Linked DNA regions of Drosophila melanogaster. The protein of the gene in region 1 interacts with the protein of each later gene in a biochemical or structural test. Each region holds a gene or a part of one and is shown on either strand. Other genes may lie near its edges.

Region 1 (8,150 bases):
ACTCATTTTTAGTTATACGAATTTTTGAATGCTGCGAAATAGATTTGATCAGCTATTTGATGAAAGATGAATTAACTAAAATAACACAGTGCTATATAGAGTTGCCACCCTGTCAATGGTCACGAATTGGGAAAATGAAGTCCTTGAGCGCAATATTTGTTTTAAAGATTTGTCTAAGGATGAGATGTATTACTATGTAAATGTTTATTGGACGTATTCTTGTATTGCAGGTCCATGCTTAAATTCTCGGAATAAGCAAAATGACCATGTCAGCAGATGCGTATATAAACAATGAATAAGTCCAGCTTTCGTTTTATCAGGTCCCTGTAGCTTATTTTCCATCTCCACCGACTCAGCAATGAACTTGTACCCCCCTGGATATCGTATTTCATCGAAATAGGAAAATATAAAGATATGGAGGTTTTCTTACATTATTCTTAGAATAAATTATACATGCAGGATTATAAATACATATTGAAGGGATGGTAACCGATGAACATAGTTTATATATATTCATGTGCGTGTTTGGGGGACTCTTAGCTCAATTTATACTACTATTATTATGTGTATGCATCAGGGGTGATGCTAATGCCATGCAAGTAAACAATGCTTATCACACAAACGCAAGTGACTCCAGACACGGATATCCGAATCCGTGCGCAGAGAAGACTGAACGGAGGCGAATTACTTTGAACCTAGAGAGAGTGTTGCTGCAGATAACTCGTGTTGGCACTTAAATGGCTGTGCCAGGACTTGGACTCGCACACCGGAATCCATGATCACTAGCTACTGGCTGCTCCGCTTGATGCGCTCGACATGCAGGTCGTACAGCATCTTGTTCTTCTCGTAGTAAAATGGGTTTTGTTCGGCTCCCAGTTCTGGGTTGTATTCGTATCCGGCCGCCACACCGTTTCCGGCTGCATCGGACCCGCCGGATCCACCAGTCGCTCCTCCTCCCGACAGTGGCGGAATGCTGCAGCTGCTGCTGCTGCTGCTGTTCCCATCCTCGTAGTTCAGATTCAGGTTGTTGATGCGCTTCGAAAGGGGCGACTCGCAGGCCAGTTCATCCTCCCGGCTGCGCTTTCTGTGGAGGAATGGTGTGCGTTTGATTAGCGCTGGGACCTCACTACCTTGGTCAAGGTGATTACCTTGTCTTCAGGAATCCAGCCATTCCGATCCCGGGGCCAGTGCAGTGTGTTGGTTTCGGTTCCTATTGGTCAATTGTTTTGTCCTGCCCCGTTTCACAGCAGCGACATCCACCAGTGTGACTGCCTCGAAGTTCGAAATTGGCTGTGGGATATACCAATGGGTTGTGCTAAATATACCGCTAATCGAGGTTTGTTTTTTCTTAAATGGAAATCACAAATAGCCAACCCAAACAGCAGATATTGTTAAGAAAACCGAGATTATATTGTATCCAAACAAATAGAATATTTTTGGGAGGGAGGGATAAAGTGAATCTAAAAGTTGTCTCAGTGACAAATAGCGCCAAGTGAGAATATTTTATACCCAACAATTACTTCACGATGACACGATGAATACAGCTGCGGTTAAAATAATAACACTACTGCAGGTGGAAAGTTGATTTACCAAAAAAAATAATTAAATGTTTTATTTTTTTAAGTCAGATTGCATGAATAATAAGAACCATATGTTGTCTCTCTGAGCAAGAAATTTTTACTCTCTCAATGTAACGGTTCTTTTTGTTTTTGGGCACTTGCTGTGGTAACAAAAATAGCACCGATCACGTATTTGCTGAATACAATTAATAGGAGTGATTGCTTTGGGTTTTTTTTTCGACAAATTTTGAAAAAAGGAGTTGCAATAAAGGTTTTAATTGAATTTTTTCCAAACGAAGACAAAAAATTCTCTAGTCATGGGTCGCGGAAAGCATTGTACCGTCGAAAAAAGAAATTTGATTAAAAACATGATTTCTGAACGTAAAACCTACGCTGAAATTGGTCGCATTGTCGGTTGTTCAAACAAAATGATCCGCAAAGCACTGCTGTTTGTCGAAAAGAAGGAAACACGGCGAAGAGAGCCCTCAATGTCCAACGTGGAGATCAAGCGCTTGGTTTGGCAAAGCAAGAAGGAGTCTTTTAAGCCGGCGACGGAACTGAAGAAGGAGCTTCAGATAGCTGCAAGCGTGGAAACAGTTCGCAAACGCTTAAGACAAAACAACCTTAATGCGTGCAGCCCCAAAAAAGTACCGCTTTTGACTGTGAAGCATGTGGCAAAGCGAATCGAATATGCCAAGATACACAAGGACTGGCCTATGGAGAAGTGGTGCAACATTTTGTGGTCAGATGAGATCAAAATTGTGTTGTTTGGTGGGAAAGGCTCTCGGTCTTATGTTCGGCGTCCACCACGACGTCCACCACTAAATATAATCCTCGCTTCACCTTTAAGTCGGTAAAAAACGGGGGATCAAGCATCATGGTATGGGCGTGCTTTTCATGGTATGGAGTAGTTCCAATCCATTGGATTCAAAGCATCATGGATCAGCACATTTACTGTCATATGCCGAGGATGAAATGCCGTTGGTTTGGACATTTCAACAGGATAACGACCCAAAACACACGAGCAAGAAAGCTCAAAGTGGTTTGAGCAGAAGTAGATCCGAGTAATGAAATGGCCTGCTCAGTCACCCGACTTGAATCCAATCGAAAACCTTTGGGCGGACGTGAAAAAAGGGTTTCTGAAGCCAGACCCAATAATAACGAGGAATTTTGGGGTGTGGTCAAGGATTCAGGAAGCAAAATTCCTCAAAAACAGTGCCAGGACTTGGTGGAGTCCATGCCAAGACGATGTCCAGCTGTCATTACCAGCATAGGTCACGCAACCAAATATTAAGATTCTTTAAACATAGTTTTTAAGATATAATCCGTTTGTTTAAATTTTTTTAAAAATTTTTTAAAAAATTTTTTTATTTAGTTTTGGCAAACTACAAGAAACAGTGCTATTTTTGTTACCGCCTAAATTTGAAGGTTTTTTTTTGTTTTACCAATTATTTTATCCATTAGATCTGTTACTAATTTTTTTATTTCGATTGAAAATCATTGTAGTATTTAAGTTTAGTGAGTAAAATGATGAAAAAGTGTCAGAAAATACAGAAACACTGGGACAAACACGAAATCCGCTTATTATTGTTACCGCAACTGTATGCAGTATATTGGTCCCGCTCTGCCCGATCGGTCGGATATATAGCCCTTACAGTGACAGAGAACTTCCACCGAAAATACCAACATACCGATTGCGATGCAAGCCGGGTGGGAGTACTGCGACGGGATGGCAACGCCGCGCTAGTCACTCGCACGCAAAGAGCTCGCTGGAGAGAGAGAACGCTAACACAAAAGGAAATAGTAGTTTTCCGTACGTATCGAGCCCAGCCCAGAAAAGCGGAAAACTAAACGGATTCGACAGCGGTTGCAAATTTTAAATAACTGTAAGTAAGGCGGAAAAGGTGCCCGCAACGAGCATCCGCCGTATAGATCGCAACGCGTTTCAATTTGCCCAGTGAAAAGTGAATGAAAACCAAATGTCGATGACGGGCCTGCCTGCCTGTGTGTGTGTGTCATATGTGCGTGTGGTCCGTGCCGCAGTGTGCGTGTGTGATAAATAATTGCTTCCAAATTTCTTTAGTTTTTTGTCTGCAAATCTCGTCTAAAATCCGACTATAGCTAAAAACAGGGGGCAGCTCCAGCAGCTGACTGGGCGGCCAGTCCCGTGACCAAATAAACCATCATAAAGCCAGTAATAGTGCAGCAAAAACTGCATTAGACCAAGTGAACACGCACCGCACACACACAACCGCAAGCTGCCGTACTCGCTGCGCCCCTGCGCGCAAGTGTTTGCGTGTATGTGTGTCCAATCAGAATTTTCTGATGCCCGTCCGGCTTATCTGTGTGCGCCGTTGCTTTCCATTCTTTCCGTTCTTTCTTCGGCTTGAGTCATCGCTCATTCTGCCCAGATATGTACATATGTACATTGCACACACACTGCCGCCCCGCTCTCCTGGGCTCCGCTCCTCCTCGTTGATAAGGCGCCGCTGGCGAACGGTCACTCTGGCAGGAGTACGAGCAGGAGCAGGGAAGCCGCACCCACTAGTCATCCCCCCAGTGTAATCCGGCAAACTAACCCCCACTAATCCGCAGGAGTCATCACCCCTCTGCACAACATGCAAACCATCAAGTGCGTGGTCGTCGGCGACGGAGCCGTGGGTAAGACATGCCTGCTCATCTCGTATACAACCAACAAGTTCCCGTCGGAGTACGTGCCCACGGTGTTCGACAACTATGCGGTCACTGTGATGATCGGCGGTGAGCCCTACACACTGGGCCTGTTCGATACGGCCGGACAGGAGGACTACGATCGGCTGCGTCCGCTCTCCTATCCGCAGACGGATGTCTTCCTTGTCTGCTTTTCGGTGGTCAGTCCCAGTTCCTTCGAGAACGTCAAGGAGAAGGTACGTACAAGACTATTCTACGCCATGGCGAGACTGTAAGTGAGTCATTTTGCATTTGCAGTGGGTGCCCGAGATTACACACCATTGCCAAAAGACGCCGTTCCTGCTGGTGGGCACACAGATTGATTTGCGCGACGAGAACAGCACGCTGGAGAAGCTGGCCAAGAACAAGCAGAAGCCCATCACCATGGAGCAGGGCGAGAAGCTGGCCAAGGAGCTGAAGGCCGTCAAGTACGTGGAGTGCTCGGCCTTGACACAGAAGGGCCTGAAAAATGTATTCGACGAGGCCATCCTGGCCGCCCTCGAGCCACCAGAGCCCACAAAGAAAAGGAAGTGCAAATTCTTATAATTCTGCTTTCCTCACACGCGGTATCCCTTTCATTCTGGCTTTCTACTATCGCAATGACTCCTTCCCAGCCTCCCGTCGTCGAGAAGCATTCAATATATAGCCGTATATATATATATATAACATATATATATATATATGTATATATATTGGTCTTGATTTACGTTATTCTGCATTAGCCCAGTACTCCATGAGCTATTTCTCCTCGCCGCCATCCGCCTGTGTCCCCACTCCCACTCTACTCTTTTTGTCTCACACACCGTCTGTGTCTCCACTTACGCGCGTCCGCGTATCTGTGTCAGTAGTGTCCGTGCTCCAGCCTCCAGAGCTCTAATCCCTACCCGGTATTTTGGTCGGTTTCTATGTTTGGTCCACTGTGACCAGGCGGCTGGGCAGTTGCCCCCAACTCGGGACAGTCTTCCGCCCCACAAGCTTCAGCTCCAATCCCCGCCAGGATCCAATCGCAGCCAATCGAATCGAAACCCAGCCGACTTCATTTCTGCTCCCAAACATGTTTTTGGCGCAATTTTCGAATTAAGTAAAAAGAGGAACCACAATATCAATATAGCGAAAACAAATGATTTATATATAAATATATATATATATATATGTATATATATATATATTTCTTTATATATATATACAAAGATTAAGGAGAGGCAAAAAAAAAAAAAATATACATTTACGATAAACAAAAAAACAATCCAGAACAGAACAGAATGTGGGGCGATTCGAAAAGAACCATGCACTTATTCGTTTTGCCTCAGTCGATGAAATCCGCGGGAATCCACGTCGATATTGTCCCGAAAGGAGCAACGTGCGAGAATTATATTAAATATTTATGATAACTGATCGCGTAATGTTTAAACAGCGGAGGTCGGATGGAATTCGCTAGCATGCAGATATGAAAGTGAAGCTTATTATGTAATAAAACTAAGCGTATGAGTATTGAAATATGATTAAAAGTAAATTAAATGAACCTAAAGGAGGAGATAAAGGATCAGCAAGAGATGCGAGAACCGAACTAGGCGTTGCAACCACAACACAAACACACATCTGAAATCTACAATCTATATAAAAGTATATACATATATATATATATATTTAAATATGTATAATCCATAAAGTATAACAAACAATAAAACAACGGCAACAGCAACAAACATTTGTATTGTAGTTCAGCAAAAAAACAAAAACGACAAAAGATGAAAGGAAAATAAGAACTAATGCATTTTTTAATATTTTTATATGTACACATTATCAATTTTTACATTTTTTTTCTAGACCTTAGTGATTTAACATTATTGATTTCAGATAATATCTTATAATAAAACGAAATCCAAAACGAAACCACTCACTGTCTTGCCTGAAATGAAAAAAAAAAAGGGAACATCCCACCAAAGATGCACAAGCGAAAATGTACTTTTTATATGTATAAAATTACATAAATTCAATGCAATTGTGATTTTTATATAGCATTTGTGATTCATTTGTGGTTGTTTATTTCTATATCGATTCGCGTGATAAAGACCTGTCGTCATATCAGTTATTACGTTCCTGGAAAAGTGGCCAACAGGTGGAGGCAAAGCTTTTCCATTACTATAAACTATATTTTGATTATCTGGCCATGTCCTATTGTTCGTCAGCATAAACGTCGAGATCTCGGAAGCCACCAGAGCTAGCAAGGTGGCTCTTAGCAAGTAGGAACTCTGCAGCGCCAAAGAACTCACACACTCAAAAATATTATGAATATATTATTAATTTGTAAATCAGACAAACAGGATTCAACAACGAACAAGGATTCATCTGTAACTTTATGTAAGAATGTATAAAACACAACAGGGGCTAGTGATCAAACCAGTGGCTGTATCCACTTGCATTTTATGGCCGCCGCAGCGACAGCTTCCTCGTGCGACTCGGCGAATCCCGCGCTGCCCTGGATATCAATGCTGTCGTAGTCGTAGCGCGTGCTGGCCTCTTTATCCTGCAGCAGTTGCTCAACGCCGTGCCAGGCGATCATGACGCCGTTGTCGGAGCAGTACCGCTTCGATGGACGGAAGCTCCTGCAGCCATACTGCGCGGCCAGATGTTCGATGTTGGCGTATATGGCATCGTTGTTGGCCACACCGCCGGACATGACCAGTGTGGGCGGGGTGTCACCGAAGAGCTGCCTGTGCGGCAGGAGGCAGTACTCAATTGCCCGCTGCGTGCGGTGCATCAGGTGCCGGCTGACAGAGCGCAGCAGGCCGGCGCAGAAGTCGCCGTAGTTGCTGATGACTCCGTCCGGAGGTGTCCGCTCTGCCCGCTCGCGCGCTCGGATGGCCCGGAAGGAGTTGTTCTTGATGCCGGCGAAGCTGAAGTTGCAGTTCCGCTGCTGGGCAAGTGGCAGCGGAAACTCGTAGGCCAGCGGATCGCTGGCCAGCTGGGCGGCATGCTCAATGGCCCGTCCTCCGTTCCACAAGCGGTACTCCGGCAGAATGTGCAGGCGTAGTCGCCGACCGATCTTGTCAAAGGCCTCGCCGGGCGCATCATCCAGTGTTTGGCCAAGAAGCGTAAGGCGACCGGGGCCGTTAGCCACCACCAACTGACAGTGGCCGCCGCTGGCCAGCAAGCAGAGGAAGGGGTAGCCGATCTGCTCCGGATGTTCCATGCGGGCCTGCAGCGCGTGCGCCTCCATGTGGTGAACGGGCAGCAGGGGCTTCTGCAGGCGACGGGCCAGGTGCCGTGCAAAGCGCACGCCCACCAGCAAACTCAGCGGCAGTCCGGGACGCGTGGTCACCGCGATGGCCGTCAGTTGGTCCGGCTTCAATTGCGCCGCCTCCATGCAGCGCTGGTAGGCGGACTCGATGCGGGCGCGGTGAAGGTCCTGGGCCCTGGGCGGAATAATGCCTCCATAGCTGCAATCGATTCAGTTCATCATTGGGCACCGCATGCGGAGATGTGAGCACTCACCGGGTGTGGAACTCCTGTTGCGACTCCAGCACATTGGCAATCACTCGGCCCGTGGTGTCCACGATGGCGATGCCCGTGTCGTCGCAGGAGGTCTCGATGCCCAGGACATAGCTGAGCCGGCGCCTGATCCCACAGCCAAATACATTTGCTATTCCATTGCCGGCAAAATTACGAAGTGCATGCATAATGGCCAGTGTGACCAGGCACCGATAGAAACCACAACCAGCAAATCGTGGGACCGTTAGTGTTAGGGCCCCTTACACGAGCCAAATTCTTAACTATACTTTAATGCAATTTTTATTTAATATAAAATAATAATAATAGTTGTTTCAATGCCCAAAATTGGTAATAGCAATTGTGTCGTATGAAGAAGTTTCCTAAGTGAAT
Region 2 (7,486 bases), on another chromosome or scaffold:
AGAATTGTGAGCGGCAAAAGCGTTCATTAAACCCCAGGTCCCAATACAACAAAAAGAAAAAACGAAATTTGTGCAGGACTCTGGACAGTCAGTCAGATATCTATATACCCTTCCAGAAAATATGAAGTTCAAAAACATTTTTTCAAGACACAAAATAAAACTATTGAAAGCACTATTCTTAATCCAAAGAAGTATTATAATAACATGCTTGCTATCATAAAAATGTTAAATATTAATAAAAGCTTCATTATATGGTTAATTGAAACGCATTACATGTGCACTTTTATGCAAACAAGAAATCCATTATCTTTTATGTGCTGATTACTATTAATTAGAACTTTTAATTGAAAAAATTTATTCAGTCTATAAAGTTTACAACTTCCTAATGCCCATTTTGGTAAGGGTATATGACTAGACAGACTCTTCAAACTTCATTGAGAAAAACCTTTTGGGACGTGCGTGCACAATACTCGAGTTTTACGACCTTCTGCAACGCCCACAACAAAAGCCGTTGCACTGAGAGAAATGCAATTAGAGAACCGTCGTGGTGCTGGGTGCTGAGAGGACGTCCACAAACGTCGTCAGACGTCAGACAAACGCCGACTGCCGGCCCACACACAGATCACTTCAGGTCTGGTCTGGTTCTCGGATATGACGGCAGCTTCAACTCCAACTCCAAAATCCCAGAGTCTGGATGCAGGCAATTAGGGGGCAAGACTTATAGCCCCGTCTCAGTGGTGCCAACTTGGCTCCATTTGTTGGTTAAAGTGGGATTCCCAAATGTATTTTCTACCTCAAGAACGTGCAAACTGATCAAAATACCACAACTAGATTACAAATGTGTCACTTTTTTTGAGAAAGTTTCAACTACTGATAGTTCTGTTCCCAACACTTGACTTGGGCATTTCCTGCAAACTACGACAACAGTGACTGGGTGAGGTAATGTCATTAACATCCAATTGGCCAATGAACCCGACGATTATGAAACCGAACTCTATGGCAGCGGTTAATTAGATGAACTTTGTCAATTGCCTTAATTGGGACCTTAGGCCCCGCGCCAGCGGAAGTGGAGCACTGCAAAACTGACCCCTTTAACTTTTTGGGTATTTCGATTGGCCGCCACGCACATGCCACAAAAATGTACGAACAGGTCTGTGACTGCTGGCCTTGTCGGCTTTATCAAAAAGTCAATAAATACATGCGGCGAAATCTTATCAACGCCTTAGCCCTACTACCATCGATATCTATTAGTATTTATTGAATAAACCAAATATGAAAGCCAGGCCAGCCAAATAAATGTCACAAGAGAATCGATGGCGAACCGCAGGGCCCAAAAAGGTTTCCTCAGATCACAATCTTTAACAATATCGAATGAACAGACTCCCGTGGTGTTTGTGGTTACGAGTGGTAATTCAACGACTTGACCTGGCACCCTGCCCCCTTGCGCTCATGCACTTGTGTCCACAGATGAAAATTTCTTATTCCCCCGTTTTGTTTGTTTGTCTGGAATTGAAGTTGACTCTGTTGTTGAAGAGGCAAACAAACACGGTGACGGAAAGGGCAAAAGAAGACGAACTGGTGACATTTGATAGTGCATGCGGTCAACTGCTGGCGATATCATTCGGCGGGTTCTATTTATAGGTCGATGCGATCGGTAATATCCTGGACATGCGGCCGACAGATGGCGTCACGTTTGCTGACCCCGCCAAATGTCAACCACTTGCACAATCGTCTATGTCTAAGCTGGTGGGATCAGCAGAACAAACCCATAAATGCCGCAACACCCCCCCATCACCTATACATGATTCATTCGCCCTACTCATGTATGTGTATATAATTGATATAACAAAGGCCACTTGCTGAATTCGCAGTGTCCGTTATCAATAATTGACGCACCATCTTAACCCGTTTTAAACTATTTTCTTCGGGCAGTTTTTTGAAGGTACTTAACTAAATTAGTTATTCTCTCTCTCTCTCTTCACACATTTGGTTTGGAATTGTGTTGGCCAAAAGATTGCTTAAATTCAGTTTTACAGTTTTAATAGAGTTACTTGCAATTAGTATGATAATACATATTACTTATTACATATACATATTACTATTGATTATTATAAGTTTGGAAACCTTCTTTGGCCTAACATGGGTTAACTAACAGAGCTACTTACAGCGCTGTTGCGCTAAGGGCGGCGTTATCTAACATCCGCTGTTAGCGGGCGTGCAATAATAATAAAGAAAGTCAACAAAAGAAACGCAGTGTCAAGACTTATGACTAATGCACTTAATTGAACGAAAGCTTTCGGTGAGAAGAAAAACAAATATGCAGCATGTGCCACAAAGTTACAAGCAAATCGGCGTTACGAATTAAGTGGGTCAGCAAACCGAATGGAGCCACCCAAAACATAAATTGCAAATCCGAAGACAGACCTTTTCTTGGCCACACTTGTATGGTAATATGTGGGTCAAAATGGCCCGAAATTATGTATTATCATTAAATTTCATTACAACCGACTTTTCGAGCGCTTAAATAATGTCGAAAAATTTCGGACTGCGCAAAAGCGGAATGCAAAAACAAAGCGAACCCGTTACACCGCAATTCACGCAATGCCACTCAGTGGGTTGTTATTTTATTTTCCCCCCACTTTTTGTACAGTTATGGGAACGGAACGGTGCCGTCGATCCACCAAATGCATTGGCCCCAGTCCCAGTCCCAGCACCAGCCGCAATCCCCATTCCATCACCATCCCCCAACCCGCCGAGCCAAAGAAAGCCAACTTGATGGTCTGTTCTTGTACGCAAGTCCATATTCGGAGTTTGGAGTTCTTGGAGAATGCGTAGTGTCTCCCACACAGGAAGAAATATAAGATCGGGACATATGTATATTATTCATAATCCTACTGTAAACATATAGTACCCTAAGCTTTTGTATGTTCTTATGCCTTCAATGACGGATTATTAAAATGTAGACTAATGTCGTCTGAAATGCTGAAAACCAATATTACTAGTCTCTATCTGTGATTGATACGTGATTTTTCCTCAGTGCACCTCCCCAGCCCGCTGAGTCATGTCATTTCTGCACGCAGAAGTTCAGTGATCCCGTTCGCTTACCAAAAAAGTCCTCCCATCTCTCCGAGGTGTCCGAATCGGATTCTATGTCCATCTTGGTCTCCTCCGGCTGCTTGATTTACGATTTCCGAGTGCGTCTGGTTTGGTTTTGGCCAGATCTGGTCCCTCGCGCCTGATCTGTCTCTAAATTTAGACGGCGATTGCAGAGCAACTGACACTGAAGGAGGTCGTTATTATCGCGACTGCTTTGGCTGCTGCATTAGATATGGCCGCAGATACAGTATCTAAAACGGGCGAATTGTGGCCAAATGACTTCACCCGGTGCAGAGCGGAAAGGCAAAGCTCAATCAATGGCTGGCCGATAAGATAAGCGCTCGATTTAACTTTAAACACTGGCACCGAACTGTGCGATTTTCTTTTCCGTTTGTTTGTCGTATATGGACGTTTTCGCAGTTTCGAGTACGAGTATCTGGCTTTATTCACCACTAGTCGCCGATATCTTATCGCGGTCTACTAAGCTCCGAGGTAAGGCAAATATCCAGCAGGTACGGAGGCATTGTGGCCAACAGCTGGTGTCCAGCGATTCGGAATGAGAATACGCGAATGTATCTCAATGTTGCGCTCAGTTCTCGGAACTTTCGGATGACTAAACCGGCTCACGGACTTCTGTCTCTGGGGTTGGGGCTTTTATTTTATTACTTTTATTTGGGCTTAGAACAAATTGTGGGGATTCTCCAAAAGCGGGCCACACAACAACCGATCGTTGATTGAATTAAAGTAATGGGCTCTTCACTTGCTATTTGCGAAACCGAAAACAAAACGAAAACACACAAATTGCAGATACAAGTATCTCGCGCTTCGCTGATTTTCCAGTTTCTCCCGTGCAAATCACCTTCGCACCGTTACTTCTAATTGCGGCAAATGGAAAACACTCTCGTCTCACATATACGACTGCACTTGCAGATACACTTGTGTATTTTCAGATATAATTTTTGATATTTTTCCTGCCGATATTTTTATTTCCTTTTTTTTTTCTTGACGGGTAGGGGGCGGTACACTGGCACACACACGCTCATTCGCAGGAACAGCTCGAGCGCTCCAGGAACGACATATCCAGCGCGCGTCTCAGAGTGAACTGACTTACTTGAAAGACACTCAAGTCGGAAGACCCGAGCACGAAGTCACCTCATACACAAATAATGGGGGGATTCGAATACAAGTTCTCTCTCTCTCTCTCGGTGCTCACAGTATTACATCCGATGCGAAGATCGCTGAGAGTTGCATAGTATGCTCATTCCAAGGCGTTCGATCTCCAACATGGTATGTTTGTATCTTCTATGCATGCAACAAGTGGAACCAACTGCAACTCCTAGCAGTCGTGGGTGCATGATCGACAGCACCACCAGGTTGAAATGATGACCCATTCGTAGTACATCTCGACTGGATAAGAGAAAAATATTATTTTAATTAAAAATCGAACGTGAATAGAATTTATGTACTTTTTAAGTCCACTACGTTTTGTTGCTTGTTTGTGTTATATGTTGTGTGTGTGTTATAGAAAGAAGTTCTCGATAGTTAATGTATTAATCTACTTCTCTATCTTCTTTTGTTTTCAGATCCAAAAGAAATTCAAAATTTTTTCACCAACTTACGTATGCTAAGAAAACCGCCCAGAAGGAGGTGCAGAGGGTCCCACAAGAGGATGTAGAAGAGCACCACAAGTGCGATGAGGAGCCCCAGGGCCGCAATACCTATAAAAAAGGACAAGAGCATGGCCCAGCACATGTCCTGTAGAACAGCGATTGGATATCTTTACAAATTTAAGGATAAAAGTATTCACTTACCCACATCGTTCCGAGGAGAAGAAGAATTTTAGCTAGGGCTTGGACAATGCCAAAGACCATTGCCATGACCACAAGCACTGTTTCCGGATTGCCCTTGATCATCTCGAATAGACCCACAGAAAAGACCATTAAAGCTAGAAGCATCCCCGTGAAGCCGATGAAGATGCAGCCAATGTAAAGCGACAAATAGCCGCAAAACAAGCGCAGACACATTTCGATGTTTCCTCTAAGTTTTGACTAGAAATCACAAGCACATATTTCACTGGAATTTTGAATTTAAACTTTGGGTATCAGACTGGGCACTGCTTACATGTAGACATCAAAAAAGATATTGGTTGTAAGGAATTATAATGCAAATTAGACAATTGATCAGATTATTGAGCTGATTAGATTAAGTATTAGGGAATGTATATCAAAAGTAGGAAATATTTGAAACAGCTCCCAAGCTAAATAGCTTTAAAGACTTTTAAACGTATAATCTTTCACTAAATTATTTTTAAATGCATATTTTAAATAGAAGACATTTTTCAAAGTTGGCGCTTAATATCCAAACAGCTGTTTCAACGCCAGCGCTTGGCACTTATCGATAACCTATTTCAATCGATTCCAATTGGCATTCTTCTAATTGAAGAATTAAGTAAATAATGGATATATCCGCGCCACCAAACAAACGTGCTCGAAAATCACCCAATCTGGATGAAGACATAACTGGGATCCGGGCCATCCTCTCCGATGAGTTCGACGAGGATATTGCGCTCATCAAGGCGCACAGTTGCGAGTTGGAGACGAAACAGCAGCTCCAGGCGGTCATCCAGGAGCTCTCACAGAAATTGCCCCACTTTCAACACCTAAAGCGCGTCCAGGATCGCAGCGTGCTCATATGTCCCAGCTCAGAGATCGGAGTGTCTCAAAGCCTGGAACAACACCTTGAACAGTTTGCCTTTTCGGAGCACGTGCTCCGTGCTTTGTGCCAGGGAGTCCGGGTGGTGGAGGTGCCGGAACGGATGCCCCGACTGCGGGTGCAGTACGAGAAGACCCTTAAGCACTGGCCCTGCAAGTTTCACCCTAATCACTACTCGGAGTCACTGAGGAATGGCAGCAACTTTAGCTCCGCACAACGCACATTTCACAAAAGGATCGGGCAATTGCTTGTGAGGCTCTCGCGGGATGTCAATGCCAATCGTCCGGTGGGCATCTGCGTGGATCCGCGACAACCCAGCATTGTGTCCATTGCTGGAACTGGTGAAGTTTGTAGGCCGCACGAGCACTGCTGCATGATGCTCGTCGATTTTGTGGCTCGCAGTCAAGAAGGAGGCGCCACAAAAACGGAGGTTACATTCACCGAAGATTTCAAGAAGGATACCACTCTGCGGGGTATTCCTAAAGCCTACTACGATTACCTGATGAACAATGAAGACTACAAAGACCTGACATTCGGAGCGGAAAAGTCGAGAGAATGCAAAGAAGTGGACGCAGTTCAAGGAGCAGATAACCTGGCCAAATTCGGACCCTATCTGTGCACCGGCTACGATATCTATCTGCTGCAGGAACCCTGCCTTATGTGCTCCATGGCCCTGGTACATAGCAGGGCGAAAAGAGTATTTTTCGTTAAGAACTCTGAAAACGGAGCTCTAGCCACGAGATTCCAACTGCATTCGGTGCGGGAACTCAACCATCACTACGAAGTGTTCCAGTTCACAACCAAGGAGGATGAAGACTTGACGTAACGTTTAACAAACCTTGGTTTTAATAAAGGATTTATAGGATATCTTCGATTTTCGGCGTTGTTTTGGCCGTCGACTGGCGGGTGGGCGTGGACAGGAGACCCAGCAAATGGCAATCTGCCTCTAGAATGGTAATATCCTTGGACGAACCCAGAAACTTGGTGGACAACTCCAAGTCCTTGATGCGCAGTCGAACACGGGCTCCTCGCACATAGTCGCTGAAGTAGGAAAGGCGGTTTATTGGATAAAGAGACAGGAAATTATATTGAACTCACCTGGCATTGCGTGTTGGACGACTGCAGACGCAGTGAAACTTCCAACCAAAGTCTATGTAGAGATCATCGCCCACCACATGAAAGATCTTGCCACTGACCACCTTGCCCTCGGCGTTGTCCAGCTGCTCCAGAAATCAACAAGTTATTACATAAACAATGGGATTACTTAAATAATGTACCCACATCAATTAATTTGGAGTTGCGCAGCAGGGAGGCGAAGGTCTGGTTGTCTTCCGGCAGCTGTGGAGGCGTGGCTGGTGCCGTGTACTTGTCGAAGGCACGGGCGAATCCTCCCTTGCTGCTGCCAATCTCCGCCGTTTCCGTATTCACTGCGGGAGTAGATTCCTCCGCCGGTTTTTCTGTGTTACCGCTGATAAGTCGAATGACCATTGGCATTCGGGAACGACAGGTTAATGAAGCCATCGGTACACCAGATCTGCTTAGTTTTTGCAAGAGCGACATGGTTTTAATTTAATATTGCTCAAAAATATCCACAAGAAAACCAAAACCAAGTGGAAAACCAAAGAAGAAGAGCGGCACCGATAGACTGCTAATCGATTATTAGCAGCTGCGTCGGCTC
Region 3 (7,832 bases), on another chromosome or scaffold:
CTGCACCACGGCGGTGTTGAGTGTCTGAAAGTGGAGCAAGCAGAGATTGCGTTACACAAAGTTATGACAATCGATAGAAAGATAGAAAGGCCCGGGGCGATTATCCAATACGGGCGAACAAAAGCTTCCAACACCTTCAGTTTGCGCCTCATTTAAATGCAACTATCAATCCGACGACCACGAACTCAATGAACTGTCGCGCTCGAGCTGAAAAACTCATCTGACTTTCGGTTTCGCTAGTTTCTGGCCATCAAGTCGAGTCGATGGCCCCCAGTGAGTGTTGACTCTTTTGAATACCGATTAGCCTGGCCAGCTCTTGCAGCAACTGCAACTGGTAGTTGAATGGGCAATCCAGCCGTTTGGCATGAGGAGCACGTATCCCCGGTTGATGGAGGGCCTAAGTCTAGTCCGTGGACATTAGTCTAGTGGAGAACTTTCCGTGGATCAGTGCATATTGCTGCAACAGTGCAACGGAGACCCATAATGTGCACAGGCAAAAATTAAGTATCATCCATTGATTTAAAATGAAATTGTGTTTCCCCTAAGATAGATGTATAGATAGTACCTACGTATAAATTCAAATTGTTCTCTGTGTCTTTTGTGTGACGGAGGACTTTGTTTATGACCCAGACAGGAAATGGTGGCGACACTCCAAGAAGTGCATCCTGCACTACCACTAAATTGCCGCAGCAGAATAGTTGCCAAAACCATTATGTGCAAGAAGCTCTGCCGCCAGAAAAGTCAAGGCAAGCGCTTATTTATTTATCGGAAACTTTGTGCAAGGACACACCAGCCTCTTTTAGGCTCGACAAAAGTGAGTGTGTGAGTTGGTGGCCCTAACATTTGGCTTTCGCCTGAGGCCACAGAATGACCCTCAACCCGAATCGTTGCTAATTGATTCAACTTGCCGCCCCTGGGCGATGATCCAAAATGTTACGTGCTGGCAATTGAAACACTGCAGCCGAACAGCAATCCAGCATTATCAATTAATGGACACATTAGAGATGGATGGATGTGGATGGATGGTTGGTTAGTGGATATGGGCAATGGCCATGCAGAAGCATTTGCAGCTGACCTTTGGCTCAAATAAAAGAGAAAGAGGCATTGACGAGCCACTGGATTTTATGTAGCTTCGGATGTGGAAGATGCTTTCCAGCCCACACAACACAGCGCAACACAGCACAGCACACAGCTTGTATCTCTGGCAAAGTGCGAAATTGTGAACACATTTGAATTTTTATTGATGCTTAGCTCTGGCTTTTTTTACTCGCGCCAACTGTGAGCGGACATAAGTAGCATTGTAAAAATGATGTCTTGCCTTCTACGTACAAGCTGGTGTTTCTTTTGAAAAGCATTAAAATCGATGGAAAACAAGCGACAGCAAAAAGTGGTCATTGCCACCGAGCGTGTGGCTCGATGGAGCGGGGAATGGGTGCGGTCCTAGCGGTACAAGTCAACCCAAATGGGCCAAGCGGTAAAATGCTCATACGCCCTGTGGCCAACATATTATGTCAGATTATAAATAAACATTTATACGGATATCTATAGATACCACTTTAATCGCAATGTATTTAGAGAATGTCATTGCTATTTAAAGATGCGTAAAAATACTAGAAATGAGTCAGCTACTTCCTTTGTTTATTAAAATTCTTTCGAAAGTAATCAAAGCTAGCTAATTATTCAGAGAGCAAAATCTGGGGCTCAAAGTGTACACTATCCAAACATAAACATCAATTAGAAAGTTTGGCCTGTGCAGAAAAATGCGTTAAATAAGTGTATACAAATAAATGCGAGCAAGAGTTGCGACAAGCGACAAGCGACTGCCAAACCACAATAACAACATCGGGTTTGCTAAGCTGCAGCTTTGTGTGTTATCACACGATATCGCACAAAGACGGGCAGCATTCGATACGGTGAAAACAAGATATGGTTTGGTGATTGATTGAATATTTTCCACCAGGTAATCTCTTTCTTTATCTCAGAGAGCAGAGCAGGGCAAACGAAAGATGTGGGATTAATGACATAATTTACAAATCCCCGAACGTTTTCATTGACTTGCCCAATACCCGTAGCTTCAGTGAATCAAAAGCAGAGACTAAAAATATGAGAAATGGATTGGTAGTGCCTTTCTGAGTGTCTTCAAAAGGGGCCAACTGCCTTAACCAGCCCACTGGTTGCATTACTTTGGCAGAGTTCAAATGCATTTGGAAATGTTTTGTCAATGGAAAGTTGCGAATTAGCAAAGCGTGAATTGCGAATCGAAATTAGCGATTTTCCCATGTTGTGCACACCATAATTATCCGCACAACGGCCGCCGTTAAATGACCACATTCCAAGTTTCCACTCCAATTTCAGGGCATTCTTATCGCACTTGGCATTGGCCGGTGATTCGCATTGGGCGGGCGGATTGATAAGATAAGGTTCGTCTGTATTTCGCCTCAAATACTATATGTACCCCCACTCTTATCACGACCCAATGGGCCAAACTAATGGTTTCTCTTTCGTTTCGCACCACAATCGGCTTTGGCACCCCAATACTACGAAGGAATAGAGTTGGAAATAAAAAACTAATCAAGAAGTGCAAACAACTGCGCTTGTGGCCTATCAATGCCGGCTCAAGCCGTTTGCTGATAGAGGCTCTAAGAAATGCTAGGTAAATATTAGTAATGTTAACAAAGTCTAACAAATTGCTCTAGTAACACTGGCCAGCACATTCGGACTCTGATCTGAATGAATATTATTTATTCCTTATATACTCCTAATTTCTTAATGAGCATTTAATACGAGAATAGTGCCCAATAAGTTGTAACCTACATATGTATGTATGGGCACCATAAAACATCTGTGTAACAATGATTCATCTTGTTTTTTTTTTGTATAGTACAGAGAACATTAATCTAAATGGTTATCTGCACTGACTCAAGTAGACTTTCCAGCAAAAGAGTATGTCTTTCAATCAAAACCAAAGCTAATAATGTGTACGATACTCCCATGCAAGTTTTATAGCTGACCAACTAACTATAGTGCATAGAACTCTAATTTTGTTCACAGTTTAGCTTCCGGTGCCATCTTTAAATGGGCAAAGAAACCATTCAACTATGTTGGGCAGTGTGCAAGTGAAATTTGGTAAATATGACAGGCAGCTGCCCGTAGACCGTAGAATGATATTATGATATAGGGTTACTGTGCTTCGAGTGAAATTCGCACACGATGGGCGACACTTGAGCCGCAGGAAGTGCTTCATCAAGCCGTGGGATTTGCTCGGCGAAGGCGGAGGAACACAAACCATGTCATTGCTTAATTATTAATCACCCGATTGGGGGCATTATGCATCATCAGTACTCGACTCACCTGGCACTTCTTGCCCAGCAGCTTGAAGACGGCCTCATTCTCCTCCTGGGTGAGCAGCGTACTGGCGGCATTGACCTTCGCCCGTGGACCGTCCTGCGACCTCATTCCGCTGCTCATCTGGCCGGTTTCGTTGGATCTGGGTCTGGTGCTGGATATGGGGATCTGGGCTGGTTTCCCTGCACAATACGGACACAATACGCATTTTATTGTGTGGCGAAAACAATACGCAAATGAACAAAAGCTAAATGTATTAATTTAATATCACAAAACGCTGGGGACCCCGAAAAAGTAAAAAGTTCATAACAATAAAGGCACACGGAGTAACAGTTGAACTTCGATAGAGTGAACAAAAGTTTGGGATCGTAGGGTTGACGATACAATATGAAAAGTTTGAGCTCCCATAAATATACTAAAGAGTTCAGAAACTGTATAATATTTAACGTTTAAATGAATTATTGCAGTCAACGCCTTCGAATATAAAAAGATAACTACACTTGGATAGGCTGCCTATTTTTTTGTACAGTGTACAGCTTGTAAAAACTCCGATCTACAGAGAGTTTGAGCAACGGAGTCCGAAGTGTGTTGCGAATAACCCGATTTGGGATCGAAGAATTATGGTTTTGGGACTGCTGAATCGATTGACAGTATTGTCTTTACGGTTTTGAATGGTTTTCAGCCCGAATTACGGCCAAGAGCGCGAGCGAGAGAGACCGAGACCTGCGCTGGCTATGACGATGTAGCTGGTTATGGTGTCGGCGGGGCTGCGAGCGGATCGCCTGGTCTGAGTCACGGTGCCCGAGAGTCGGAAATCAGAAGCAGAAACAGAAACAGTCAGCCAGCAAGCCAGCCAGCTGCGTTTGAATGTGGGCAAAAGCCAGGCCAGTGGCAAACTCTTCGAAAAGAGCCCTTATCTTTGGCGAAAAGCACTGATTAGGTGTGCGCATGTATCTATGTGTGATACATGCACAGTGGTCTGGGTTACTCAACATTCGGCACTCGCCACAAGCCACCAGCCAATCCACCCCACTGTGCGCCACTCCGTAGCTCCAAGATTTGTGACAACACCTGTCCGTCGTCGCGCCAGGTGGGGTGAAAATGCAAATGTAAATAGACAGACGCTGCTGCGGATTGGGAGTAAGTTCATGGGTTGGGTTGGTTCGGCTTGGATGGGATGGGATGATGTGCTGCCCTACTCAAGGTCTCGAATTTCCCTTGTGAGCTGCTCTGCTGGGGGGGTCGCCCATTGATTTTTTGCGTTTATTTTCGTGCACTGCTCTTCACTCTTTCGTTTTTTTCCCACACACAACACAACACACCACAAAATCTGTGTAGTCTCTGGCCTTGCGGATTCCGGGACTCTTATCGGGAGGCTCTACTGTGCGCGCGTCCGCGTCATCGAGTGCATGGCGTTGAAAACGAGTGTTCCTCGGTTGATTATTCGTCTGTTCCCGGACGCAATGCTAGTTTGTTTATTCATTTATTTTTTTTCACTCCAATTCAATTGCTGCCAGTGTGACCGACCGAAAAAGGCGATAGGCTAAAAATACTATCCTTTCGATAATTTCCTAAAATATGCATCAAGCTCTGCCAAGGCCCTGTGCAGACCATGCTCGAGACTTTTCAATTTTGCCCATCACTAGTTCCGCTTAAAAGTTTATCAAAAAGTTTCAGGCAATTCCGTTAAGAAATCGCGAGTGGAGAGCTGTGGGAATAGTATATTTTTTCATTTATGTTATCTTTTCCGTTAAATTTGATTTTGTTTACCACGCCCGTAAATTCGAATAAATATTTGTTCATCTGGCTTTCAAAATATGTTTTATTTTGATATAAATTATAATCGAGTAAATTCACATTGGTTTAATTTTTTGCTGACAAAAAGCATATTTCGATTTATTCATATTGAAAATGGTTAATCGCATTGAATCGGTAAAAACTAAGTCGCAAATGATGAGCTTAATGCATAAGCTGTTTCCTAAAACAGTTACCCTTAACTTGCTAAATTATATAAAAGAATACTTAAAAAGCAGTGACTAAAAAATGTGAATTTCTTCTCTCTTCAGATATTTGGTGTTTGCATAAGGAAGCCAGGGGCATATTTTAAACTTAGAGTATATTCTCAATAAAGATGTGCAACTATATGATTGTAATTGATTTCAGTAGCTCACCAGTTGGAGGACAGCTCATCTAACTAAGTGTTAAAAAAGTTAAATCAGAACAGACATTCGACTTGGTAAACCTTTCCTAGTTAATGCGACAATCGAATATATAGCATTTATATATATGCCAGTATACATTTTGTATATATTGGGTAGTTGTACACATGTTGAAAGGCCTGATTTTGTGTATATATATGCAATACATTTGGCTACACACGATCGGGAGCATCGGGAGCTTCCTTCTCTGACTGTGATTTGGATAAGTTGAAGTTACTAGGAGTTTGCGCTAACTCTATGCTAAACTGGTTGCTTACAAAGTTTTAGGGTCTACGTATAATGTATAAAGTAAAAGGAGAGTAAAATATGGATTACATAGCGTATGTATATTAACTCCTATCCTAAAAACTCTTTGATTTTGACTCTGACTCTAGCTCGGCTTGTGGATGTGGACCTGTGCGTGTTCGGTTCCTAAAAAATGCTTGACAAATACAGTCCTGTTCCTCTTACAATCTCCACTTCCGTTTTCGCTTTAACTTGGCTAATTTGTGATCCATACTATCCTGAACAAATTAACCCTCTATTTCCGCGCGCCCACCACTGGCAGCTTGGACTTGACTCCTCCAGCGGTGCTGGGGGTATTGTCAAACGTGGAGCTGCGCAGGAGCGTCGGCTTGGTTCCATTTGCGTTGAGCATGTTGGAAGATTTGGTTTTCTGCGTCCTCAGGTTGGATGACGATTGCTTGGTTTTGGCCTCGTCCACTCTCTTCCAGATGTTGGCGATACGACTTTGCGCATGGTTGATCTTGGCCGCAGCTGCTGCGGCTGCACTGCTTCCATTTAGGTTGGAGTTGCTGCGGGATGGTGGAGTAGTGGACGACACGCGGCCGGAGACCACACGTGAGGCAGCGTGAGATTTGCCCGCAGCTAGTCGCAGACTGGTGTTTGCCCTTTGAGGCGTCATTCGGCGGGCCGGCGCCAAGGGAATCCTCTTGGGAGAGCCCGCTTTCGATGGTGACCCACCGCTGGCCGTGCCTTTCTTTGTGGGTAACTTCGAGGCGCGGTGAGTGGGACTGGTTTGAGCCGGTTTTGTCTCCACCACGGGCACTTGAACATTGGAGTTAGTGGGCTCGTCCTTGACAAAGGTTCCCTGGCGTTCCAAGCGTGCGGGTGCCGGCTCAGGCGGCGGCGTCGGCTTCTTTTTCGCTGGTAACCTAACTCCTGAACCGCCGGGCACCAGACTTCGTTTGGCAATTGTTGGAGATAGGGTTTTCTTCTTGGACGGGGCGGCATTGTTGCTATTCCGTTGACTTTGCATGCTGTAGGGTGAGACATAGGCTGGTTTCTTGCGACCTCGCACCAGTTTTACGGCCGTGGCGGGCTCCAAGGTTGTGGGCTTAACGACTGATGTTCTAAGGTCCACAATTGACGGAGGAGGAGGCAGCTGATCCGGTTCCTGACCATCGCACGACTCCGTCTCAGAGTTCTGATCGCACTCCGGGGATTCCCCTGCGTCTTCTGGATGATCAGTACTCTCGCAAGTCTCCTGACTGTGTCCAATGTTAATGTCCGTGATGAAAGTGAACTGTTGCATCATTGCTCGAATTGAGGAGAGCTGTTCGCTTGGGCAATCATCGGGTTGGGGTTGTATCAAAGCCAGGGGACATTCAATCAGTTGGGTCTTGTACCGCTCCGCACTGCCCCTTCTCCTTCCATTGGCGCGTGGCGATGGCGTGGCCACAGGAACGGCAGCTTCCACAATTTCTATCTGCAAAGTTTCATTGGCCTCTGGTGCTTCCATCTCGCAGCTGGTGGCTATGGTGTAGGTCTTGAAGCGATCCTTTGTGAGACGTCGCTTGTCTTTCGGTGTGAGGGAACGACGATTGGGTGATGGAGTAGATCCGTGCTTGGGTGTGGACTCGGCCGAGCTGTAGTCATTCATTGTGGCATCCTCATCCTCGTCGAAACAACTTTGGAGCACGGTCATCGTCTGATCATCGCAAGCAGCCGTCTCATAGTTGGACACGGAAATGGTGGTGGCCATGCTGCAGTCCTGCTCGCCATCGGCCACCTCAGATTGAATGCTGTCCACACTGATCATCGAGTCCAGCAGCTCATCCATCAGTGACGGAGGCTTGATGTTGTCCAGCAGGTTGCAGCTGGAGTTCACGCTCTCCGCACTGCCAGCTAAGTGACCCAGTGCTCGTCTGGCTACCAAATTGGCTGGAAACATTTTTCGCGCGAAGCGTGGACTCTTGCTGGGCATCGCCTGGCGCAGAGAACTAGGCTGGGAGTGATCCTGGTAGCAGCTGTTCAGCGATTCCATTC
Region 4 (7,623 bases), on another chromosome or scaffold:
CAGCAGAGTATAAATCAGATTTTGCAATTAAGTCTTCATTGAAATTCAGGCGTAAACTGTAAATTTATTATGGCAGCCACGAAGATGATAAGGGAACCGTGGTGCTCCCCCACTTGACTGACAGATTGTGCCAATTTCCCCACTTATGGCGCTTCAGGGGAGGACTAAGTGCAGTCGCAATCGAGGAACTTCGAACTCCGCTTCCTATACATACAAGTATCGCTAGTGAAATACCCATACATATATGTTTAATTGTTAACAGCATCGAAAGGACATTTGCTGTTAACTTTTGAAGCTTATATGCACATCCTTCTATTACTCACCTTTCTGCGTCCACAACAAAGCATTCTTCGCACACGCGAATTTCCAGTAGCTGCTTTCAATCGAGTAAACTTCTTCTTCCACTGCATTTATTAGTGGGGATCCGATTGGGAATAGCTTCCTTCGTTCCTGTCCTTCCTCTCGCCGTGGGTGGGGTTTTGTTTGAAGGCAACTTCTGTTAATTGCCGTATTTGCTTGCTGGTAGCTGTGGCATTTGGTCAATGCTGAACCCGTCCTTTTGGTTCCTTACAAAAATGCGATATAAAAATGCAAGTCCGGGTTTCGTTGCGAGTTGAGTGTTCCTGCAATCGGAAAGCGGAGGCAGTAATGAGTTAAAGAACGAGCTCAGAGCCATAAACAAGTATTTACTGTAATATGACTGTCAACAAGCTGGCACATCTACTCGCCACTAGGACGCCTCATGGTTCGAGGTACAGTGGGCCACGAATGACCGTAATTTATAGATTATACTTGTGCGTGAACAATTCAAAAATTTCCGGATAGACAATCGAGAAAATCTTGACAATAACTCATTATAAATTGTAAATAATGTAAAATTTTAGAAAATATATGCTTAGTTCCCGAGTAGCCAACGCAAATATTCCTAACTGTATCGCTGGGTGTGTCTGACAGTGTGTCTCGCAATGCCTAACCTAATGAAGCTTTACACTTTGCGGGTTCGCGGGTCTGAAGCCACGAGCCTGACATGTGTCATATGCATTTGCCTGACAAGGCATTCGAGCACTTGGACAGTTCTCGTCCCAACTGCTCCTGCGTATTATGCATATATCGGGTAGATGTCTGTCTCTGATTTTATAGCGCTGATATTGCAATCCTTAGCGGACGCCCTCCGTAAATAAAAAATAAAACAATGTTTGCTAAGCAATGCGACTGCGGAGGAGGGTGCCAAAAGAAGGGGAAGAAAGCAGAGGGACCACATTGATGGGACACTGTGCGCTACCGCATGTAATCTCCCAAAAAAGTATGCTACAAATTTTTACATGTAACTATATTCCACTTTTTAATCAAAAGAAAAAAATGCCTATATTAATGCTAATATTAAAGTTTTAAACATTAATTACATCTAACCAAGGACACATTTCTTGCATTGAGGGCTTTTTAGCGAATGTGGGCCACTTCTGGTTCTGGTACATCCTTGGCAAAATGCGCGCTCATTCCCATAGCTGTATATTTATGGTAATGAAGCGGACCAGCCTGGCCTTTGGGCTAATTGTGTTGGCCCAGTTTTCGTTAGGAAGCTGAACTTGCTTTTTGCTAGGCCCTTGTGAGGAACATTTTCCTTCGGATCCTGTTGAGGACTGGAATGGCTTATACCAAAATAATAAAGGCATGGTTAATTCCTTTCTAATATCTTCCTGTAAAGTGAACAAAGTAACAGTCCTTTGCCCTCAATAGTAAACTTATGTTTTTTATTAAAAATGGTGTCTGTTTTGTTTTAGTAGAATGGAAAAGAGATAGGGACACAAAAAATTGTAGGAACACTTATATATATCATTCATACTAAAACAGGAGCCAATAACAATCAACACACAAGGGCTTAACATTGAGTGGCCCCTATGCCATCCTCAGTCAGATTATTCATCATCATCATCAGGATGATCACTGTCATCGACATTAAAGGAAACCAGTAAAGCCTTGGATGGCACATTGCCACAACTCCAGATTTTTTTCCAGAAAGCAGCTTGCCTTCCTCGAACGCCTCCTCCGTTGCTCCCGCCGTAGTAATTGCAATGAAAAATGTTACAATCGTGCACAGGACATTCAAATGTACAAAGAAGAATGTGGAGCTATGTCCTCACGAACATGTCAGGGGGTCCAGCTGCGTCACTGACAACTGATTTCCTTGCCAGTTTTCAACGCTAGTTCCAGTGATGTCAATGACTATCCTTACGGACGATAAAAGTCTTAAAATTGTACTCCGAAATTTCGAAAAAGAGGAAATATAGGAAATACATTGAACGAGCAATACTGGAATTAACATATATGTTAGTGGATAGAACCAGATATTTTGCTCACAGAGCTTAAACAGCATCACTTCCGGGTGTACTAGGTATGGAACGGAAAAATGTCTATTCATAATTCCTTTCTAGGAAGCGGGGAGCTGCATGAGCTGGAACATGTATATACAAGATACTTTGTGTCACAGTCGCAGTAGCGACAGAGAACAGCCGTCACGAGGAAAGATGTTGCCTGGGTGTTCACCAACAGCAGCAGCTACACCCATTACCACATCGAGAACAACTTTACCAGTCGCCAGTCGCCGGGAATGTTGTCTAGGCACGCATAAAATGTATTATAATGACATCACAAATTGAGCTCGCTATGTGTGTCCATAAATGAGTGACAAAGCTTGCCCGCACTCCATTCCAGCGGCAAAAATAGCAAATAATTTATCAAATAGCAAAAAACGGAGACTTTCCGCAGCAAGCAAGTACATCAGAATCCAAATATTACGAAATTGTCATAAATAGTGAAAACCGAATTTAATAAGATATCGATATGAATTTTAAACTTTAAAATTATTTTTACTTGAGGCAGTGCTACAATGACGACAGGCAGATTTATCGATTTCCCTCTTTGGGCTCAGTTGTAACCCCATCATGGCATTATTTGGTTTGGTATGGTTATTGCTGCGTTGAAGTTTATCCACAACGCCACATCCCCATGAGTCCCTTTTCCACACTTTGACTGGTTAGTAGCACCCGACAAAGGAATATACATCGAAAGAAGAAACACAGACCCACCACTGGGGACCGTCGGACCCTAACCCGCAAACCCACCATCCCACCCACACCCACTGGGCTTTGCCGCACGCTCATGCGACTGCACACCCACTGAGGCAAAAAAAGGATACTCTTTCTTTTAGAAGTTATATTTATCGGCTCAGCTTATAATTGTAACGCGAAAAGGCCCCACAACTGACTCGCAGCTCTTGACAACCGATATTACGATCATTTACTTTTCAGATCGGATCCCATTATCTGCATGGTAAAACCCCAATTTTCAGTGCAGTCGCTTCGCGCCATGTGGTCCTTTCTGCCGGTGCTCAGCTGACTCACCTGACGACTGTGCAACATGCCACCAGCAACCCGCAACTAGAAACTCGCAACTCCGAATTTGGAGCTCCCAACTCGCCATTTGGACGACGGATAGAAGTCGCATTAAAATGCCAAAAATATGCTCGAAACCATAAAAACTAGCAAAGTTGCGGGGAAACTGTGAATTTATCTAATTAGTGAGGGCAGAATCAAAAAGATGGAATTATGGCTGCACAGAATGGAAGTCGCCATCCACATGTTGTATTACAGCTCGGCTTATACCACACACATAAGGACCAAACAAAATAATATGCAATTTTAAAAATAACTTTCTGTTTAAAGATTTTCTATATGTGAACAATACTGCCTTAAAATAAGTTAATAAATAACAACGTAAATTAATACAACAAAAAGTACCAAGCGATTTTAATGGTCTCTATGGAAATCCATTTTTGGCTACCGTAAGAGGCTTGCTATCATTTTTTTTATACAAGGGGCTTTAGTTCTAACATAAAATTAAGATAGTTGTGCGGCTCAGCTTTTTTAAATTATTTGTATGGTATGGGGCTCCACACAAAGTTCTCTGTTTGCTGGTAAATTGGAGCAAAGCTTTTAGCTTGGGGGTAGTTTGGCGGACTGAAGGGGCGATTCGGGGTGTAAAAAGTTATGGGGGCTTTGAGCATAAAAAGCGTCCAAACAAGATTTTTGATTGTTAATGTCGCGGTAAATGTTTTGCTTTCTGTTCCTCTCACCTAGTCGTATATATCCTAGATCTTCATCTCTTGTGTGTAATAGAGGAGATCTTGAAATAATTTGCTGCTGGAATAGACACCGCTTATATTACATTTGCTCGAATTGATTTGACGATATGCCATGTTTTCTTACGATTAAATTGGAACCTCCACCTCCAATGACTACAATGAATGATGATAGCCTATCAGAAGACGTTTCCTTTTCTTTCAAAAGGTTTTTAGTAAAAGGCAAAATAACGCTAACCAACAAAGCATTAGAAGTTCTGGAAACAGGATTTGTTTTAACAGAAAATTGCGCATAATCACACTTGCCACAAATGATCGCTTATTCGAGTTGTGGGAGCCTTATCAAGCACAGCCGAATTTGATAGCGACAAGGTCATTTCCTATGATGGACTTTTCACCCTTCAAATAGTTTTTTAATTAACTAAATGCATAGCCGCCAGTGAGTTTCCTGGATAGGTCCCTTTGTTGAAAACTCACCTGCACTGTGGAACTGCGTTTCTCCTGACGTCCTAATGCTTGACGTTTTGCGTCTAATCCGTGCCAACGGCTACTGCCCAAGTTATGAAAACGTGAGATCACAAATTGCAAGGGACAACTGGGGTCGGGTTGAAGAGGGGCGGAGGTATGGGAGTGGGCTAGTTGCAGTCACCGGTCGTAAATGTGTGCCGCGTTGTGAAAAGGATGCACTTGCTCTCTATGGTAGCTCTCTCTTGCTCTCTCTTTTTCTCTAAAAATGTCTATCTCTTTCGCTCGCTAGCGTTACCTTTTATTTCGGCTTTGATTGGTTTTAATTTCCGCTGAAGCTGCTTTTACTTCCGGGGCAGTAAGAATGCGAATGCAAAATGCAATTGGCTAGGTGCAGGTTTTTGTTGTTAGAGACTTATCGCTGATTCGGTGGTCAATGGCTTGGGATTTTGAGAAGCAGTACATCCTTGCAGCCTCTCTTTGCTCCTTTCTGCACCGTCTTTCGTTGCCTTTCGTTTCGTTTCACACTTTCGTCGCATTCACGGCATCCCATGCAACTTTTTTGCTGCGGCATTTTTTGCGTAACTTGTGAGATAATTTCAACATGTTTTTGGTTCCCGGAAAAGGTGCAATTTATTTTTTGGCCTTTTCATTGATCTGTGCGCGAGAGTGCTTGCGGGCGCGGTGTGTGGGCTCGCGGCAGGCGGGTGTGAGAGTGTGTGGGTGGTGCGGGGAACCCGTAGCGGAATGCGTCCGTGTGGCAGCGCGAAGCTTTCGCAACTATGCGAATTTCCTGAGTAGGAATTTCAGTATAATAAAATATCCTGTTCCTCTTCTAAGTCGAGAAAGAGAGCAAGAGAGCGCTAGTTATTCTGCGCGTGCGCCACGAATTGGAGCACTTTAATGCTGGTGGCGATAACACGGACATGGACACATCACCAATACTCGCGCACGTACACCCACCACCGCGGTGGAACTCCTTCCCTCTCACTCACTCCAAAACTTCCTACGTTTTTTTCACTGTGCTGCGCCGCTTGTCCTTTTGCTTTTCTCCGATGTTAAACGACACTTTCGGTTGTTTTTCAAGCTTTCTTATCTTTTCGGACCATGGGCCGCGCCTTTTATTGCGTTTTTACGAAGCAATTGTGCCTGCATTCGGTGGAAAAACTACAAAATATTATTTGATCGGAGGAAACGAAACACTCGCAGCAAGCGACGAGAGCGAAATGCAGCGTGCAAGAGCGAGACTGCACCACAGTCAGCTTTTACCGTTGCACGCAGCGTTGATGACAAGGGAAAGAAATAAGGACGCATGCGCGAAAAATTTCTGTTGGTCGCTTGAAGAACAGTATATACCAAATATTGGTTTCGGTTTCAATAAAGAGAAATTAAATGGTAAATGTGTAACAAAAGGAAAAATTTTTAAATATTTAGATTACTGTTGAGTAATAGTTGGCAGCTATTTTACACACATAGATGGCGTGACGGTTACTTTTTACAGAACTCTGTTACGTTTGGAAAAACTCTAGAATCTGTGAGATCATACATTTTGGTATTTAAACTATTTTAGCAACTGGTAACACTATTCGACACCGGTGCCATCAATTTGGGTCAATTTAAAAGGAACTATGTTTTTGCATAACACAAAGTTTTGCAGACTGGCAAGTGAGTATACGAGTGGATACAGTTCCCACGACATTCCTACATATTCCCCAACAGGTGGTCTGGCAGGAGGAGTGCGCAACCTGAGCGGCCAAAAACCGAAGACCGCGATCCTAATGCTGAACATGGGCGGTCCGACCCACACGGACCAGGTGCATGACTACCTCCTGCGTATTATGACCGACCGGGACATGATCCAGCTGCCGGTGCAGAGCCGTCTTGGTCCGTGGATCGCCCAGCGCAGGACGCCCGAGGTACAGAAGAAGTACAAGGAGATCGGCGGTGGTTCACCGATTCTTAAGTGGACCGAGCTGCAGGGCCAGCTCATGTGCGAGCAGTTGGACAGAATCTCCCCGGAGACAGCACCTCACAAGCACTACGTCGGTTTCCGCTACGTGAATCCCCTCACTGAGAACACGCTGGCCGAGATCGAAAAGTGAGTGTAGTCGAGAAGTAGAACAAGAGTGATGTAAATAATCCGAAGGTCGTGAAATTGACCTATATATATTGCTACGGACTCTCACAATAAGATATGTTCTAGTAAATAAGTTTGTATAGACTTCTGACTTCTTATGCATGTTTCAATGTCCTGCTATTATCAGTTGACTTCTTGGACAAATTACTGAAACCTAAACCTGGAAATTATGGTCATTTGCGCTACTTAAAGAATACATGTTAATATTTTAACATATTTACAGGGACAAACCAGAGCGCGTTGTACTCTTTTCACAATATCCACAGTACAGCTGCGCCACCTCCGGATCCAGCTTTAACTCCATATTTACTCATTATCGGAGCAAGTGAGTTAGAAATGCACAATTGCAGCTATTTATTTGATCCCCTCTACCTCTTTAGTAATCTGCCCTCGGATATCAAATGGAGCATTATCGACAGGTGGGGCACTCATCCACTTCTAATCAAAACGTTTGCCCAGCGAATTCGCGACGAGCTGGCCAAATTTGTGGAAACGAAACGAAATGATGTGGTCATCCTCTTCACTGCCCACTCCCTTCCCCTTAAGGCTGTGAACCGGGGTGACGCGTATCCCTCGGAGATTGGTGCTAGCGTACACATGGTGATGCAGGAACTTGGTCAGACGAATCCCTACAGCCTGGCATGGCAATCCAAGGTGGGCCCGCTACCCTGGCTGGCGCCCGCAACTGATGATGCCATTAAGGTGTAACTTTAATGCCGGATTTCCATTCCCATCCACTAAAACCAATCCCATCTTTACAGGGCTATGTTAAGCAAGGCCTGAAGAACTTCATCCTTGTGCCCATTGCCTTCGTGAACGAGCACATCGAGACGCTGCATGAGCTCGACATCGAGTACTGCGACGAACTGGCCAAGGAGGTAGG

What was found.
Region 2: of the proteins of Cdc42 (region 1) and GEFmeso, one has a biochemical effect on the other in vitro, tested with the Drosophila melanogaster proteins (one study listed by BioGRID).
Region 3: of the proteins of Cdc42 (region 1) and WASp, one has a biochemical effect on the other in vitro, tested with the Drosophila melanogaster proteins (one study listed by BioGRID).
Region 4: of the proteins of Cdc42 (region 1) and RhoGAP100F, one has a biochemical effect on the other in vitro, tested with the Drosophila melanogaster proteins (one study listed by BioGRID).

The regions. Positions count from the first base shown.
Region 1 is NC_004354.4:19,693,781-19,701,930, forward strand, and holds Cdc42 (cell division cycle 42), read left to right. Parts: upstream 1-3,310; 5' UTR 3,311-3,372; exon of another isoform or gene 3,373-3,445; intron 3,446-4,154; 5' UTR 4,155-4,177; coding exon 4,178-4,465; intron 4,466-4,526; coding exon 4,527-4,814; 3' UTR 4,815-6,158; downstream 6,159-8,150. Other genes in the region: CG14229 (uncharacterized protein), read right to left, coding at 787-1,084, 1,149-1,171; Tcs4 (Threonyl-carbamoyl synthesis 4), read right to left, coding at 6,664-7,708, 7,764-7,948. UniProt on the Drosophila melanogaster protein: Regulates mbt kinase activity and is also required to recruit mbt to adherens junctions. Together with mbt and Frl, regulates photoreceptor cell morphogenesis. Together with Frl, has a role in the neuronal development of mushroom bodies.
Region 2 is NT_033778.4:18,607,576-18,615,061, forward strand, and holds the start of GEFmeso (guanine nucleotide exchange factor in mesoderm), read right to left. Parts: upstream 4,203-7,486; 5' UTR 3,158-4,202; coding exon 3,106-3,157; intron 1-3,105. Other genes in the region: CG42697 (uncharacterized protein), read right to left, coding at 4,433-4,503, 4,716-4,851, 4,908-5,120; CG10927 (uncharacterized protein), read left to right, coding at 5,552-6,634; mRpS28 (mitochondrial ribosomal protein S28), read right to left, coding at 6,666-6,849, 6,907-7,028, 7,090-7,368.
Region 3 is NT_033777.3:28,827,151-28,834,982, forward strand, and holds the start of WASp (WASp), read right to left. Parts: upstream 4,875-7,832; 5' UTR 4,668-4,874; intron 4,164-4,667; exon of another isoform or gene 4,069-4,163; intron 3,991-4,068; exon of another isoform or gene 3,844-3,990; intron 3,528-3,843; 5' UTR 3,469-3,527; coding exon 3,352-3,468; intron 224-3,351; exon of another isoform or gene 153-223; coding exon of another isoform or gene 135-152; intron 25-134; coding exon 1-24. Other genes in the region: Apc (APC-like), read right to left, coding at 6,085-7,832.
Region 4 is NT_033777.3:31,810,819-31,818,441, reverse strand, and holds the start of RhoGAP100F (Rho GTPase activating protein at 100F), read right to left. Parts: upstream 5,834-7,623; 5' UTR 4,616-5,833; intron 624-4,615; 5' UTR 411-623; coding exon 324-410; intron 1-323. Other genes in the region: FeCH (ferrochelatase), read left to right, coding at 6,232-6,268, 6,323-6,701, 6,964-7,065, 7,121-7,442, 7,502-7,623. UniProt on the Drosophila melanogaster protein: GTPase activator for the Rho-type GTPases by converting them to an inactive GDP-bound state. Promotes the anchoring of Liprin-alpha clusters at synapses. Recruits and keeps Nrx-1 levels high in active zones in the presynapse opposite the postsynaptic region.